4 linked regions of the Caenorhabditis elegans genome follow. The protein of the gene in region 1 purifies or fractionates together with the protein of each later gene. This does not show direct contact. Each region holds a gene or a part of one and is shown in the gene's direction. Other genes may lie near its edges.

Region 1 (6,037 bases):
GTCGTCTTGCACGTGCCATATTTGCAGCAATCTCTTCTCTTACACTAGGCTCACGTCTTCCATCAAGAGCTCTTTCGGAGCCACGTAGATTATATCCCATGTCACGGAGTTCAATCATTTCAACGTCCAGTGGAGGTTCTGAAAATTGGCTAGTTCTGGTTTAGTTTTTAAGGTTTTTATGAAAACCGATGATCGAATTAGTTGAAAAAAAAATCAACCACTTTCAGAATTTTGAATACATGTAGCATGGCAGAAGAAAACTTTTTTTTCGAAAAAAAAACACTTTTTGAACATTTTTCTGTTAATTATTCGGGGTTTCTTGATTTATAATTTTTTTTTGCAATTTGATTTGGAGCGTGTTTTCCGAAATTTTCAGGCATTCAAATCAAGCAGTTGTTTTATGATTTTTTCTATATTTTACACTTTTTTAATAACTAGAATTTAAATAAAAACTTACGTTCTGATTCTCTGTACAATTCATCCACTGAATCATTGATTGTTCTTGTAACCACAACTGGATCTGTTGTATCAAAAATCATATGCAGATAGGCGACAACACTCTGAATATTAAAATATACATAATTTTCAAACGTTTCTGAAATTTACCTTAATAACAGTGAAAAAGAAAACAATAAATCCAGTATATGAAGCAGCAAATACAAGTGAGACACCTTGAGAAGCGACAAATCCAAGGATAAGGGGAAGAATAATAAGTATAAACCATACGTAGAGATGCATTGTGTTGCAGAATATTGAAAAACCCGGTTCATAGTACCTGGAAAATTTTGAATATATTGGAATTTAGCTAAAGAAAATCAATAATTTAATTCTATAAAAAAACGAAGCAATTTAATCAATTTTTAGAGAAACTTTATGAACCTGTTTTCAACGAAAAAACTTTTTTATTGTTTTAAAATGAATACTAACCATCCACCAGTGAGCGATGCCCAAATACCCTGTCGAATAACCTCGATGATGTGTGTGCCAACACTCATCGTGGCGGCTCGAGAGCTTCAGACTCCAAAATCGCTCGATTTTCTCCGGTTTTACTCTGCAAAAATCGATATTTCTAATGTATTTCTGGTTTTGTTCGGCAGAAAACTAAAAATCAATCAAAATTCAAGCGAAAAGGCTTTTCAAAAAGTGAAAATCAATGAAATGTGAGCAAAAGCGAGCAAGCTGAAAAAACAGAAAAACAGACGACAATGTACGCAAACACCGTGTGTGACGCGCATTTGCGGACTCGGAAAAACTTTTTTTGGCAGGCACAGAAAGTGGAATATCATGCTGAAAAGATGAAAATAATGATAATTGCAATTGGAAACATATGTAAAAATGTTTTTAAAAATTTTTATTTGAAAAATTGAGTATGTTTAATGCGCAACTTCGGTTTAACTTAAGGATGTTCAAAAAGTGAATTTTTATTCTATTTACACAGAATGACTTATTATGTATCCTCTGATGAATGTCTTGTTGTTACGGAGGAGATTTGTCTTTTCGATATGTTTCCTGGAAATTTTACTATTTTTTTTTCAAACTTGAATCAAAAGTTGTTGTAAAAGCTTGATTTTGTTTATAAAATTACGCAACAAATTAAGATGCGTCTTGTATACAAGGTTAATAGATGAAATAAGGTATTTACAATTGAAAAGTATACAGAAAGTTTCGGAAAGTTCCAGAAATTTCTAATTAGCTCTAGAAACTATCGAGAAATATTTGTTTGATAGGAAAAGTAACTAATATTCAGTTGAATAAACATAAAGTTCCAAAAAATATTATAAAACTACGAGAAAGTTGCTTTTTAGTTGTTACAATGTTTTGGAAATCTACAAATCAATTTTTCCGAAATCCAAATTCTCACAACCTCTTCTCCATTTTTCTCTACATAATGACCCTCTAATACCGTTCGTCTTCCCGCTCGGGTCACTCGGAATTGAACAAGGTCGTCATGTTCAGTCACTTTCCTTTGTGTCTCGGAATCTCTTGTGTCTGTGGAAAGGAATACATATCCTCCATATTCTTGTATTATAATAAGTGGTTGTCACTGTCTCATACAGTCCACTCGTATTTCACCATATGACACCTTTATTCATATTCTTAGTTCTACTAACTTCACAAGGTAGCTTTTTTTTATCCAAGGAATATGTCTACCAACCGACAGAAATTTAAATTTGCTCCATTTTGAAACGGTATATCTCAATTCATTTTGTAGATATCAATTAAAATTAATTACAAAACTATAGAAAAAGAATTAGAAATTATTTCTTCAGTTGAAATTTTTTTCACTAAACAAAAGACAACTGAGATATGAGCAACCAAAGTTGACCAATGGGATGCAGCACTGATTGAGAATGTACAGTCTACTACTTGAAAATCACTTTAGCCAATCGGACCCAAAAAAACCCAAAATTCATATTGAGGCCGTTCAAAAATTGCTCAATAATTGAATATTTTGTGGACTATCTATATATAGAACCTGTCATTTGATAGGAAACCTTATGAATGAGTCCATATAGAAAATTTCTGGAGAACTTTGAACTTGGAACAGTAGATCTTAAAATTATTCAGGTCATTAATTGTGTTTCCCAAAGTATTTTGATGGGTGGAAAAGTTTCTAATTTTTCACAAGTTTTTAAAAATTTTCTAGAAAATCTGCTTACTAAGTTGCCCTGTGTGTACAATTTGCAAAAAATGCGAATTCACGGGCCTCTACTGAATTTCAGATTAAATTTGTATTTGAAGTTTTTTTCCAGTTCTTGGTGGTCTGAACAATGGAGCATCCTCGAAGAATGTAGGTGGGAGAAGGCAGCCAACTGGTGGAGGAGGACTTGATGAAAATATTCCTGTAATTGAAATTCGAGGAGAAGGAGCTCCGATGAGCTCAGCTCAAATTAGACATTTAGAGGAGATGGATAATGGTGGTCCATTGGATATTAAGGTGAGTTTTATGTGTATAATTACGCTTACTTGGAGTTTCCTACTTATTGTAACTAGGTACTACCCGGGACACAACTTACCCCTTTTTCCAAAAACATCTGTGTTTCCATCACATAACTAAATTAAAAAAAAATAAATGTAAGGTTTTGATACCTGCAAATTTGATTTTAATGATTCAAAATAACTGCATTTCCAGTGCGACTCAACTTCTTTCAAAAACAACAGTCAAGTTTTCAGATCGAAAAAACGTTTGTGCCAGCCAAGTGCCCTCAACAAGCAAAACGACTGGACTTTGTAACTTTCCATTACAAGGTAACAAATGCACACTTCTGAAAACATTTTTGATTTCAATTTCCAGGTGTTCACAGAAGATAACAAAAAAGTATATCAAACATATGGAACTGGTCCAGTCACAATTCAACTTGGAACTGGAATGATTATGCCAGGACTTGATAAGGTGAGCATTTTAAATATTCTACCGTATTTCCTATATTAGTTTTGAATCCCTTTGCTCAACTTTTACAAATCATATCTCAGTAGTCGTTTGTTCTATAGAAAAGTTGTAAACTGATAAAATTTTTGTGAGATATTTTTCTATAGTTTGTAGTTTATTAATTATTTAAAGGTTCAAAACAAAATGAAATATGAGCTGCCAAAGTTGAGCAAAGGGGTGAAAACTAATAGAGGAAATACGGTATTTGAATGCTTAGCACCAGGTTTTATGTGTTCTCCGGTTTGGCTAAAGTTGAGTAAACCGGTTTCCCTGTTTATGTTCGTTCGAAATAGTTATTCTTGACAAGTAACCTACTTTGCTTGTTTTCTTGAGAAAAATGAAATGATTGATGGAACAATTTTTTGTTTTGTAAATTTTCCACCACGGCCGCCAGTTTAAAAAATGAAAATGTACCAATAATATAAACAAACAAGCAAACGCAGCATTTAGGCTCGAGGAAGGCAGCCTACAAACTTACCTATGCCTCAAGTTAGGCAAAGTTGTTCCAAAGCCTGAAAACTTGCCAAGATGCGCGCTGACCTAGCTTGCCTATCTAAGATCCTACCTCTGCCTACGTGCCTGCCTACGTGCCTGCCTACCTACTTGCCTAGCCATGCCCACGCAAAGTCTAAAGCTGTGTTTGCCTCTGCGTTCACCTGCCTATGCGATTGCCTTTTTACATACCTGCCTATACACTTGCCTACCTGTCAATGTTTGCCTGAATATGCCTCACCATACCTGCCTACTTACTTGTGTGCCTACCAGACTATAGCCTGAAACCATGCCAAACGCAGATTTTAATCAATTCTATAAAAAGCAAAATGCTGATTCTCTCGAAAATTTTATTTGAAAAACCTATTTTTTGAATATTTGAAGTGAAATCACAACCATTGAAAGTTCACTTTCAGAAAAAAAAAACAGTCAAATATCTATTTTTATTTCCAGGGTCTGAAAGGAATGTGTGCAGAAGAGCTTCGAAAAGTCCGTGTACCATATCGTATGAGCAGAAAGAGCAAGAGCAAGGTGTGGAAAAATATACCGAATGATGAAAACTGGCTGATTTTTAACATTGAAATGGTCGAGATCAAGCCATACACCCCAGAGATTCAGTTTAAATTTTTGGATTTGAATGAGGATGAACAGTTGACAAATAAAGAGGTTCAAGATTTCCAAAAGAAAATGAAAAAAGAATTTGGAAAGACATGGAAGAATGAGGATATTGACAATGTCACTGCTGCTGGTTATTATATCAAGTAGGTTATGCATATTTATTATTTGATGGATTCTCAAATTACTGGAGATTTTTATTTCAGAAACTTATTTTACATAGATAAATTAAAAACATTCCAGATATTTCGATGTGAATGGAGATGGAATTGTGACAGAAGTTGAATGGCTGAAAATTATGGATCGAGATGAGAAACTTATCAATGATAAGAAAACAAAAGAAAAGGGACGAAAGAGAGATCCTGGAATTGGATGGATTTTGGATTTTGATAATGACGGAATTGTTTCTTATAAGGTTTGTGGAGAACTGTTTTGCTTTAAAAAAAGTTTCAAATAAAAGATAATTTAATTTTCAGGAAAATGATGAAGCTGCTGATCGATTTGATGCAGGGCCAACACTTTTGCCAATGGAATCAAAGGATGAACTCTAATAAATTAAATTTCGTTTTGTTGACTAATAAAATAACTGTTTTGAAGTTGATATAATAGTTGTAGTAATTTTTTGTAGAGTCGGACCTTTACGGGAAAACCTTTTTGTAAATTTCTAACCCAAAAACATTCGATTCAAAGTTTTCCAATAACTATCATGAAAAGGAAGTAAATTCTATGAAAAAATATGAAGAAAAATAGAAATTGGAAATCAATCTGTAGTGCCTTGTCGTGTCTCAAAGTCTATGAAAAATTGATAAAAGTCTGTATGTGGTGTTTTAATTGTCTTGTTTATCAATAATTTTTCTGAACAATTTATTATTATTATTATGATTGAACCGGGCAAATTCCAACATTTCCCGTGCTTAATAAACTCCGAAAATTTTGATGTTATGTCTTTTGGATCACCAAAATCAGTTCCGTGTAGTAAAAAACGTAACAAAAACGTGTTTTCCCAATTTGAACATTTTTAGCTTGTTAAAAACTTGACTAAAAATGAAAATTCATTTCTTTCAAAACAAGGCTAATACATATGTAAGTCTCCAGAAACTGTTCGGTTTTGTGAACAATCTGGATTCATTTTGGCAAATCCTTTGCAACAATCATCCGAAGCTGAAGATCCCAGAAACAATCAGAATGGACACACATTCGATTCGGAAGTTGATGGAAATCTACTTTTAATGGCTTCTGGCACCTGAAAATGAAATATTAACTGAATTAAAACGGAAATAGGTATATTACACAGAACATTGGAAGCAAGTGGGATGCCACGTGGAATTCAGCGCCTCACAAAAGTTGGTCTTGATGAACTCGCCACAACCTGGATATTTATAGGGTTTCTGAAGTTTCGGAAGCTTTAGATACCTTTGCAAATAGGACGAGTCGTCTTGATATGGCACTCGGAGCACAGGATCACTCCATTCTGTGGAACACACCTGGAATTGATTAATG
Region 2 (4,413 bases), on another chromosome or scaffold:
AATCCCTGATTGTCAAGATGAAAAAATTCGATTGATTGGCCTTCTCGAGCACTTAAAATGAGCTCTTCACATGAGAGAATAGATCTGAATTCCCGTGAAATCAATCCCCAATCATCAACTGGATATACATTCGCTGTATTGTTTGCTGAAATTTCATAGTGTTATTTTAAAAAACATTTTTAGTATTTCTTACGTGGTGATATCTCATCTTTTTCTGCCACTTTGCGTGTTCTCAGTGCTGGAGAAATATCCCATGCTAATTGTGGAATGTTATTTCGTACAATTGGTTTTGAATATAATCTGTATTTATATTCACCATCGATTCGTACCATCTGTAATTTGAATTAATTTATTCTGGGATTGAAAAATATAAAAATGAGCAGTTTTCTAGAAGATTTCTCGAGAAAAACCTTACAAAATTTGTGAAAATAAAAATTTACCAATTTTTGGGACAACGAGACTTCTTTCAAGCTATTCTCAAAATCCTCATCTGACAACCGGGAAGTTGCGACCAGCACAAAATAGTGGAGAGCATCATCCTGTTCTTCCAGCTGATCTAAAAATATTTAAACTCAAACAAAAATTGCTTTAAACTATAGATGTATACCTAGGACTTCAGAGACAACCGGGCGAAATGCTTCTAGCTTTAGAGTAACCAGCCGTTCATTCAAATCATCCGTCAATTCGTGAGCTGTCAACTGAAATTTTGAATTGAGCTCCAAGATGTTTCTTTTGAAGAATTGTCAAACCTACAGGATTCCCGTTTGAGTCTCGTAAGGGCTGATTTTTATTGATCAGATAGAGACACTCCAAATCTGATATTGTTTGGCACTGTTGCACATTTTGTTCCCCATGTATTAGAAAGCTTAATGTGCTTAGCATTTCTGAAAAAAACAATTTAAAAAGGATTCAGTTTTATTGAAATTAGAAAAAAAAACAGTGGCAATTGAAAAAACAACAAAAAAACATTAGGAGGAGTTTAGTAGAGCACGCCTGCATCACACTTTATGGAACATCAGTCTCAGTAGAAATGAATCCACCATTATGACTAAGTTTTTAGAGTATTAGTTGCCATTTATATAAAGTTTTTTAAAAATATTTTATGCTACTGTAAATTTTGTATTGTTTGAATTTAAATTTATAAAATTTACATCTTTACTCATAGTTCTCGACTATTGAATATTAGAACATGCACTTCTACGGAACATTTTTTCCATTGTTTCCATAGAGCCTGTAAAAACCATTTTTTGTGAAAAAACTTGTTGCTTTCAAAAATAAATAAACTTTCATCAAAGTTCTATTCTGATTCTCTGAAATAATTTTTCATTAATTTACACTTTGTTGTTCGATCTTTTGTGACCTTCATTGGCTAAGAAATGTCCCGATTTTTGTATTTAAAAACCACTTCCGGCATTAACCTGCTTCAAAATCAGCGATCAAGGAATTTCTCAGTTTTGCCGCATGTTGTCGTCGCCATGTTGCGTGCGTTCATCGTGTAAATAATCACCGAGAATACGATCTATCTCTCTCTTATGATCCCACCCATAAATCTGTCTCCGACAATCATTTGATTTGTCTGAAAATTTACGACCTTTCTCTACAATTAGTTTAGGCAGTCACGTTGACGCAATCTCACACGCATACCCACTCAAGATATGAAAAAAGTCGACGGTCGCACTCGTTTTATAGTTCTGATCTCAGCGTTTTCAATCTGCGTCTCCGAGCCTCTCGGTCATATATATGTATTCCGTGTCTTCCAGTTCGGAAGTCTTTTTCTCTTGTCTTATGGTCAACTTATGACTGATTATATTTAGTCACGTGTCGATTTTAGCGCATGCGTTGATCAGAGAAAACTAGAGAGATCAGTCGTTTACCGTCATTTTGATGCATTATATCTTTTATTTTCTCCCTAACTCATATTTCGAACATAATCTGTTCTCTCAAAACATTTCTTCCATAATTCATGTTTTCAGATGCTTCTGAAGCTAAAGTGCACTGTCAATAACTACGCATGGGGACCCAAAGGAAATTCTAGCATGGCTGGAAGTCTTGCATTAGATGGTGGTCATATTCCAAATCTTGACAAAGACAAACCATACGCTGAAGTGAGTAATGAAACATGTATCTATTTCCGTTCTAATTAAAGCGATTCTCAATCTATTTGTGGCGTCTTACCGTGGTTTCTGACCTTATGTCGTGACTTTCGAAGATTGTGTCGTCGATCACCTGATCAGATCGGCCTACATCACTCCCGAAACACGTTCTCTTTCATCATCTTTATTATTACAGTTCTGGGTGGGAACTCACGCTAACGGGCCGGCCCACGTCATCGAAAAAGACATCGCTCTTAAACAACTTTTGGCTACATCGCCAGAGTTACAGGGAAAACATGAAAAAGGTGAATAAAATAAATATTCTTTACTGTTCTGGCTTGGGAATGGTCTAACTGGCTTGAAACTTATGTAATTTGGAAGTTAAGAGATCAGCAAAAAGGAATATCCAATTCGATGTCAGCTTCCGAATGACATAAATTTCAAGCCAATTGATACATTTCAATTCCTTAAAGAACAACATGACCTTGTCAATAAATATTAATTATTTCTTTCAGGCAACCTTTCATTCCTCTTCAAAGTGCTTTCCGTTCTTGGACCACTCTCAATCCAAATTCATCCAACAAAAGAACAAGGAAAACTTCTTCATGCTACAGATCCGAAGAACTATCCAGATGACAACCACAAACCAGAGATCGCAATTGCTCTGACTGAATTCGAGCTTCTTTCCGGATTTCGGCAACATTCACAAATTAGTGAATATCTGAAATGTAATTATCACAATTAGATTATAAGCATTAAAATTTGCTTTTTTTCAGTGTACTCTGAAATTCAAGAATTGCTCACCGAAGAAGAGAAAAGTCAAATCGACAGTTTAGGATCTTATGGAGAGAGTTCTGCACAGGTTCTCAAAAAGATCTTCTCAAGAATTTGGCGAACTCCAAAGGAAAAACTTCAAATAGTTGTTGATAAACTTGCCAGACGAATTCAAGGACATGGTAAGCGATATTTTTGAATGAATATCTTCTTTTTAATTACTAAATTTCAGAAAACAAAACGGCTCTTGATGAAATAATTGTCTACCTTTTCACATTGTACCCTGGAGATGTTGGTGTATTTGCTCCAATTTTCTTGAACTACTTCAAATTACAACCTGGAGAGGCAACATTTTTAGAACCAAACATGCCACATGCTTATTTGAAAGGAGATTGTGTTGAGTGTATGGCAGACAGTGACAATACTATTCGAGCTGGATTAACACCAAAATATATTGATGTAGAATCATTGGTTGAAATGTTGAATTATGATGAGACCCTGCTTCCAAAATATATTCCAAATGAACTGGACGATGGATCACTACTATTTACTCCACGTGGAATTGATGAGTTCTGGGTGCAGGAAGTCAAAGGACCCGCTGGATCGATCTACCAACTTCCTTACTCCGAATCATGTTCTGTCTTGACGGTTCTCTATGGTACTGCAACAGTTACATTGGGAGATGCATCACAAGTATTGAATCGAGGAGAAGTCGTTTTCATTGGAGCTACACATGACGCTGAACGTCCCAAGATTAATATTTCTGATGATTTTCTTGCATTCCGAGCGTTCACACCATCACCAAGAGCCCTCGAAAGTCTTTCAAATAAGCGTCTGATTATTGATTAATTCAGAAATCTTTTTATGTCTTTATATAATTCACCACAGTTTTACGCAATGATTGTATTTAAAAATTAAACTTGCCATGCTATAGCTTCCACGTTATTTCAGCTAAAAATTGGAATTTTGGAATTTCAATTACATACAAAAGTGCTAGTCACTGTTTTTCATTATCTAGGGTTGTTCATAATAAATTTTTATTCCTTATTTTTCAATTCTTAATAATTATTTGAGGATTTTTATTCATTGTTTACATTACTTCCTTCTTTCTTACGATTAGCGCTGCCTGGCCGGTCGTTAAAATTTCAAATAATGTTCTATTCAATAATTTTCGGAGGTTTATTGTAAAATCCTGTATTTTATATTGAAAAAATGCTAAAATTGAACAATTATCAACAAAAAAAGGTTTTGTATTGGTTCTGCTAAATTATTGTGTCCTTCACGTCCCTAACATAAATAATTAGCATACCATACTTGGGTCTGCTAAATAGCTATGGTCTGCTAAATATTTAGCATACCATGCTTGGGTCTGCTAAATAGCTATGGTCTGCTAAACATTTAGCAGACCATATGGCCATGGCCGTTCAAACTACACCCTCGTCCCTCTGACAGGACAAATATTGATTGCATTGCGAAACATTCCACAACTGGACAAATTTTCAATTATTCAACAATACAATTGCCATTTTTTGATTTAATTTCGTTT
Region 3 (2,586 bases), on another chromosome or scaffold:
CACTAACAAGTCACGGAAGTAACTACACTCCAACACCTGGATCTCCACAAGGATCCAATCCGATCTATTCCCGAATCAATGGAGCATCTTCCACATCGTCAAATCTTTACGGAGTTGCTTCCAAAGAAAGTCAATATGCTGACAGGACACTTCAAAAAGCACCGATCAAATCTACAACAGTGACGACTGGAAATACAATACTTCGTTCCGTGAACGGAACAGATGACACTGTATCAAGCTTTTCTCGTCCACCCACTGGAGCACTTAACCAAAATGACTTTGCTACCAGCATTGTGTGAATATTTGTTTTACATTTTTGGTAGGTCTTAATTCAAAAGTAACTAGAAATGTTTACAAATTCAAAATTTTCAAACGGAATGATTGCAACTCTGAAATATAGAAATCATCAAAAAAATTGAAACAATTGAAAGCGATATCATAACTATCTGCATCGAATTATGAAAAAAAAACCGAGATATTTTACTATTAATTTACAAAAATGTTATGATTCACCGTATTTCCTCTATTAGTATTGCATTACCCTTTAAATAGAAATAAGGAACACGATTAAACCGAAATTGTATATCATGTAACCTGATCATGTAAGCCTAATAAAATTAGTTCAGAAAACGGTTTCAAAGCCCATATAATTTTAGGATGAAATTGATAAGTTTCACTGTTCACAGAGTTTGCATTCTTAACTTTTGACAAAGATACATTTTACAGGAACCCTACTGATCCCGATGAACTATTCCCCCAATTAACACATGAACCAAATCAACTCCGTGACAATGCACTTCTTCTCGCCAAACACTTAAACAGTTAACCGCCAAACAAACACATCATCCCACTATAATTGTTGAAATTCATTTTTTATTTTTCTCTATAATTTCGGTCTTGATTTGCAAATTGCTGAAAACGGACTGAATTCTACTGTTTATGGAACAATTTCCTCGCCACTTTCTTTGATTTTCGACCCTTGTAAGTAAGCGCGTAATAATTGCCTCCCGCATTTTTATGTATAACTGATAATTTCTTCTTACGTTTTTCTACTCCTCCTCCCTTTTTTCATGTCACCCCACACCAAAAATCATCAAAAATCGTTTCCTTTGTTACTGTACTATATTCCCGTTGGATATCGGGTACATTTCTTTGAATTTCCACAATTTCTCTGAACATTTTGTCATAATTCGTTTTATTGTTTGTCAACCCCATTTGACCACATTCTTTGTTTCAATATTTTCTTTCTCAGATTTTATTGAAATCAAATTTCAAAAAAAAAAAATCACTAATAAAGAGCAAACAAATTTAAAAGTATCAAGGAATATAAGAATATGTTATTGAAATATGATGTAAACAGTTTTATCTCAAATAGAGTTTTATAATCAGACAGAGTAAAGAACTCAAAGATTCCGGATTATCGGGTTATCAGTGGGTTATAAAAGTGGGCGGGACAGTGTCATGCGATTCAAGTTTTCGTCGGGCTGAGCACTTAAAATTTCCTTGTTGAAAGTCTGTATAAAATGAACGAGACAATCGTTATGATAACAGCACTTTAACTCTTCCCTTATCTTTCGGAATTTTCATTCATTTCATTCATGACAAACTTGCAGACTGCTGATTTCTTGATAAGGTTAGAATGTCGTTTTTATATTATTTTCTTTTTAGAATGAAGACCACCTTCTGCCTTCTGGCCCTTGTCGCCGTCGCTACCGCTTTGGCTCTCCCAAGCCAACAGGACAATGCCATGAGCTGCCTCATGTGCGAGGTCGGAGTCCGTGCTGCTGAAAACCCAGCTGACAGAGAAGCTCACACCGTTGAGGACGTAAGTAGTCAAACTGTTCGTTTGGTCATTATAGTGAATATGATTTTAGAAATTTGACGCCGAATGCAAGAAGGAACTTGGAATCATTCCATTTGCCGAGAAGGAATGTGAGAAGTACGGAAACTCCAAGCTTGACCCCATCATCAACGAGCTCGAGGGAGGAACTGCTCCAGAAGATGTCTGCAAAAAGCTCAAGGAGTGCTAATTCTTTATGTTTCTTTTTCTTCTGATAAAGTGTGAATGACCTTTGAAATTGTTTATTCAGATATGAACTTCAAATTGTCAAATATCAGCGCGCCTGAAACTGATAAATCTCACTAACTCTGAACAAAACTGACTTTTCGTGAGAGGAAGAGCAAAGTTAACTACAGTGGCAATCAAAGCTATAGACGTTGACTACCAAAAAGTGTCGATTCGGCTCTAACGTGACAACTTCTTGTTAGCTCCAAATTGAAAGCTGAAATAAACTTTTTTCGTATAAGGTTATCAGGTTATTTTCTACGCAAGTGTAGCTTGAATTGTAACAATTCAAGCCTACATATGTCAAAAATTAATAAACCGCGTTTAAAATAAAATTTTACCTAAACATTTAAATCTGAAAGATGAAGTAAACTCCGATGATCAATGTTTTTTTTCAGTAAACGTTTGAATTTTTTCACGTTCTTTGGTTGAAAATTTGAATCAAACGATTTTAATAAATCTCGACAAAACTTTGTCAGTGAATGCATTTATCTTTTGAAACAGGCAGAGGTTGTCCTGTT
Region 4 (3,249 bases), on another chromosome or scaffold:
AAAAATAGGTGGATTTTTCAAACTTTGAAAATTCATAAATCTCTTCAAAGTAATTTTTTTTGAAATGACTTTAAGAAACTTTGTAGTAAATTTTAAGCTCTTTCAGAATATATTAACAATATTTCAGTAGGTACAAGAAGCTTCACGTAGTTACAGAAATAGTACATTTTCAGCCCTACCTTTTAGTGCGTATTTTATTAGTTAATGAAAACTACCATTAATAGGCAAAAATAGATGGATTTTCCAAACTTTGAAAATTCATAAATCTCTTCAAAGTAATTTTTTTTGAAATGACTTTCAGAAACTTTGTAGTAAATTTTAAGCTCTTTTAGAATATATTAACAATATTTCAGTAGGTACAAGAAGCTTCACGTAGTTACAGAAATAGTACATTTTCAGCCCCACCTTTTAGTGCGTATTTTATTATTCAAAAAAACTACCATTTATAAGCAGGAGATCCTCTGTTGACGTTAGCACACTCTTCACTATGCGAAATCAATTTAGAAGACTGCGTCTAAATTCCCGCAATTTTCGAAGATCAAACCGAGATGGGACATTCTGACACTACGTGCACAGTTGATCGTTTGTTAATATGGCCTGGTTTTTCCGCGTAGGTTTCGATGCTTTTTTCAGTTCATGATTGCACAAATTTGTTACATTTATGCATCCATCGAACGAAATTAAACCTAAATCAACAAATAAACTACCAAATATAGAGGGTAATTATTTATATTTATGAAAGTGGAGTTCAGGTCGCTGCGAGACTGTAAAGTTGGTAAAGTGTTAGATTCTGGCGGAACATTCCCTTTTTCCAAATCTTTGAAGCCTCCTAACTTCGCCTTATTGCGAGAACACTAAATTCTGAGAATACGTATTGCGCAACCTATTTGACGCGCAAAATGTCTTGTAGCGAAAACTACAATAATTATTTAAATGGCTACTGTAGAACTTGTGGCGATTTACGGGCTTGACTCTCGAAACGAATTTCAGTTTGAAGTATGACAGCAATTTTAATTTTCGTCCATTTTTTGAGACCCGAAGAACTCGGGGGATGTCCAATTGGGGGGATTACCAACTCGGGGGATTGGCCCCGCCCACAGAACCGTGGCTTGCAATACGCCCATTTCTGCCGCACGGTTTTTCATAACTGCCGCACGGTTTTAAAATTATTTTTTCTTGTTATTTCTCGCTCTATTGAGAAAAATACAGTTTTAAAACCGTGCGGCAGTTGCAGAAATGGGCGTATTGCAAGCCACGGTTCTGTGGGCGGGGCCAATCCCCCGAGTTGGTAATCCCCCCAATTGGACATCCCCCGAGTTCTTCGGGTCTCAGACTTCTGAACTTTTCGCATGGTTAAGAACGTGCTGTCGTAACACTTTTTGTATATTTCTATTAAACATCGTTTTTTATGCTGGATAGCTGTTTTATTTCTAATAATAAAAATTGAAAATATCTAACTAGCATTCAATTTCAGATGATACAGCGAAGAATGACCCTGAAAATATTAGCTAGGAGACATATTACAACTTAAAACATACGAAATGTAAATTTGTTTCCGATTATCAACAAAATTGTACATTTTAACGATATTTTTATCAATAAAGACTAATTTTTACATATAAATGTTAATTTAAAGCAAATCCGTGACTTGACGTGATGGTGTTTGCACACTTTTCACCACAATATACGACATTCAAGTTATATGCATTTTTTTCAAATGATTCTATCCTTTCTTTTCAGTATTCTTTACGGTTTTATTGATCAATTTGTCACCAGTATAATCGATCATGTTTTATTTCTCAATAATTGTAAAACAATTTTTCAGATATCGGCCCAAAAATGCCCGTAGACTCGAAAAAATTGGTCAAAAAAGCTTGTCAGCACATAAAACCAGTTGAGAAATTCGAATGCGAGACACAAAGAAGTACTACAACTGATGGGTAGGATCTTTGAATGATTTTCAAATTAATCTTTATTATTTTCAGCGAAACTATCAAATTCGATTACATGTGGGCGACACATTTGAGTGATGAAGACTTCGAGTGGGTGTTCAGTTTATTCAAAGAGAACATGTACGATATGTATCACAAATCCCAGTGGGGATACGATGAAAATTCCAAGCGAAACGAACTTCGTGCAACAACATCAAGGTTCATCATCGCGAAGAATTCGAAAGGGGATAAAATTGGCTATACCACTTATCGATTTGTGGTCGATCACAACATTCCTGTGGCATATTGTTGGGAACTTCAAATTGTACCGGCTTATCAGAACAAAGGAATCGGTGGCATGATGCTCGACACGCTGGAAAAGCTCTCTTCAAAGTACAGTTTCAATTAATTCGAGAGCCAATAAACAAAAACTCTTATTTTCAGGACAAACATGAGTAAAGTCATGGCAACAGTTTTTCTGTATAATGGACCGTCGCTCGGCTTCTTTCACAAACATGGATACAACAGCGACGTGACGTGCCCATCCGATGATTCTGGTCTGGATTATGCGATCCTGTCGAAAGAGACACCGAGCACATAAGAATATTAAATTCTGATTCTATGATTTTCTAATTTGTTATCATCTTCATTCTGGCTTAATTGTTACATGTATTTTTTTTTGGGTAAACAAACGTTTTTTATATTTCTACTTTTATAATATTGTGTCGTAAAAACCGTTACTTTTCGTTCAAATATTTATTTTCAAACCAAAATATAAACATTTTTGTAATAATCTTTGTAGATGCCTCATCCTTGGAACACTGCCGATGCATTAGACGATAGTCGGGTACAAGTTGAGCACATTGATTTAGTTCCTCCAAAGTATGCAAATGTACTCAACTTCAGATCTATTAAAACTAGAGATTATTATTTTGGTAAACCATGTTCTGGGCAATTAAATATTTCAATAACTTTTCTTCAGCAATGAGAGATCGTCATCAGCAGTTGGGCGCAGTCACATCTTCAAAAGCTGAAACTGACAAATTGAATAAACACTGTGAGGAGAACACGATAATGGTGGATCAAGACGGAGTAGAAACTCCAGCTGATTATGGAACAGAGAGGATGGTTGCACATGCAATAGAAGATCACCGACTTGCCGCCAATTTGCAACGAATAAAAGTTCATATTCTGAATGCAGTTCAACAAAAATCAATTCAAGCTATTCGTGACCGCCGAGGACTTCTAGTGGATGCTCCAACTGGAATCGGGAAGACTTATGCGTTTCTTATTCCGGCGATTGAAATTGCATTGAGGG

The links.
Region 2: the proteins of fkb-7 (region 1) and ZK632.4 fractionate together in Caenorhabditis elegans (co-fractionation; one large-scale study listed by BioGRID). This does not show direct contact.
Region 3: the proteins of fkb-7 (region 1) and spp-14 fractionate together in Caenorhabditis elegans (co-fractionation; one large-scale study listed by BioGRID). This does not show direct contact.
Region 4: the proteins of fkb-7 (region 1) and Y38A10A.7 fractionate together in Caenorhabditis elegans (co-fractionation; one large-scale study listed by BioGRID). This does not show direct contact.

Annotation. Positions count from the first base shown.
Region 1 is NC_003279.8:10,665,883-10,671,919, forward strand, and holds fkb-7 (peptidylprolyl isomerase), read left to right. Parts: upstream 1-1,925; 5' UTR 1,926-2,076; coding exon 2,077-2,119; intron 2,120-2,753; coding exon 2,754-2,938; intron 2,939-3,174; coding exon 3,175-3,249; intron 3,250-3,295; coding exon 3,296-3,394; intron 3,395-3,985; exon of another isoform or gene 3,986-4,135; intron 4,136-4,375; coding exon 4,376-4,683; intron 4,684-4,780; coding exon 4,781-4,952; intron 4,953-5,013; coding exon 5,014-5,088; 3' UTR 5,089-5,475; downstream 5,476-6,037. Other genes in the region: B0511.12 (Pecanex-like protein), read right to left, coding at 1-138, 458-560, 607-775, 928-995; C34B2.4 (LIM zinc-binding domain-containing protein), read right to left, coding at 5,663-5,780, 5,828-5,906, 5,951-6,021.
Region 2 is NC_003281.10:9,805,015-9,809,427, reverse strand, and holds ZK632.4 (putative mannose-6-phosphate isomerase), read left to right. Parts: upstream 1-1,973; coding exon 1,974-2,105; intron 2,106-2,289; coding exon 2,290-2,398; intron 2,399-2,608; coding exon 2,609-2,821; intron 2,822-2,869; coding exon 2,870-3,049; intron 3,050-3,099; coding exon 3,100-3,716; 3' UTR 3,717-3,913; downstream 3,914-4,413. Other genes in the region: gtap-2 (Gamma-Tubulin Associating Protein), read right to left, coding at 1-145, 194-332, 441-556, 608-698, 754-882. UniProt on the Caenorhabditis elegans protein: Involved in the synthesis of the GDP-mannose and dolichol-phosphate-mannose required for a number of critical mannosyl transfer reactions.
Region 3 is NC_003284.9:7,724,311-7,726,896, forward strand, and holds spp-14 (Saposin B-type domain-containing protein), read left to right. Parts: upstream 1-1,668; 5' UTR 1,669-1,669; coding exon 1,670-1,825; intron 1,826-1,874; coding exon 1,875-2,030; 3' UTR 2,031-2,073; downstream 2,074-2,586. Other genes in the region: K09F5.6 (Protein tincar), read left to right, coding at 1-299.
Region 4 is NC_003283.11:6,094,372-6,097,620, forward strand, and holds Y38A10A.7 (N-alpha-acetyltransferase 40), read left to right. Parts: upstream 1-1,825; 5' UTR 1,826-1,839; coding exon 1,840-1,940; intron 1,941-1,985; coding exon 1,986-2,324; intron 2,325-2,375; coding exon 2,376-2,532; 3' UTR 2,533-2,722; downstream 2,723-3,249. Other genes in the region: smut-1 (Synthetic MUTator), read left to right, coding at 2,734-2,866, 2,914-3,249.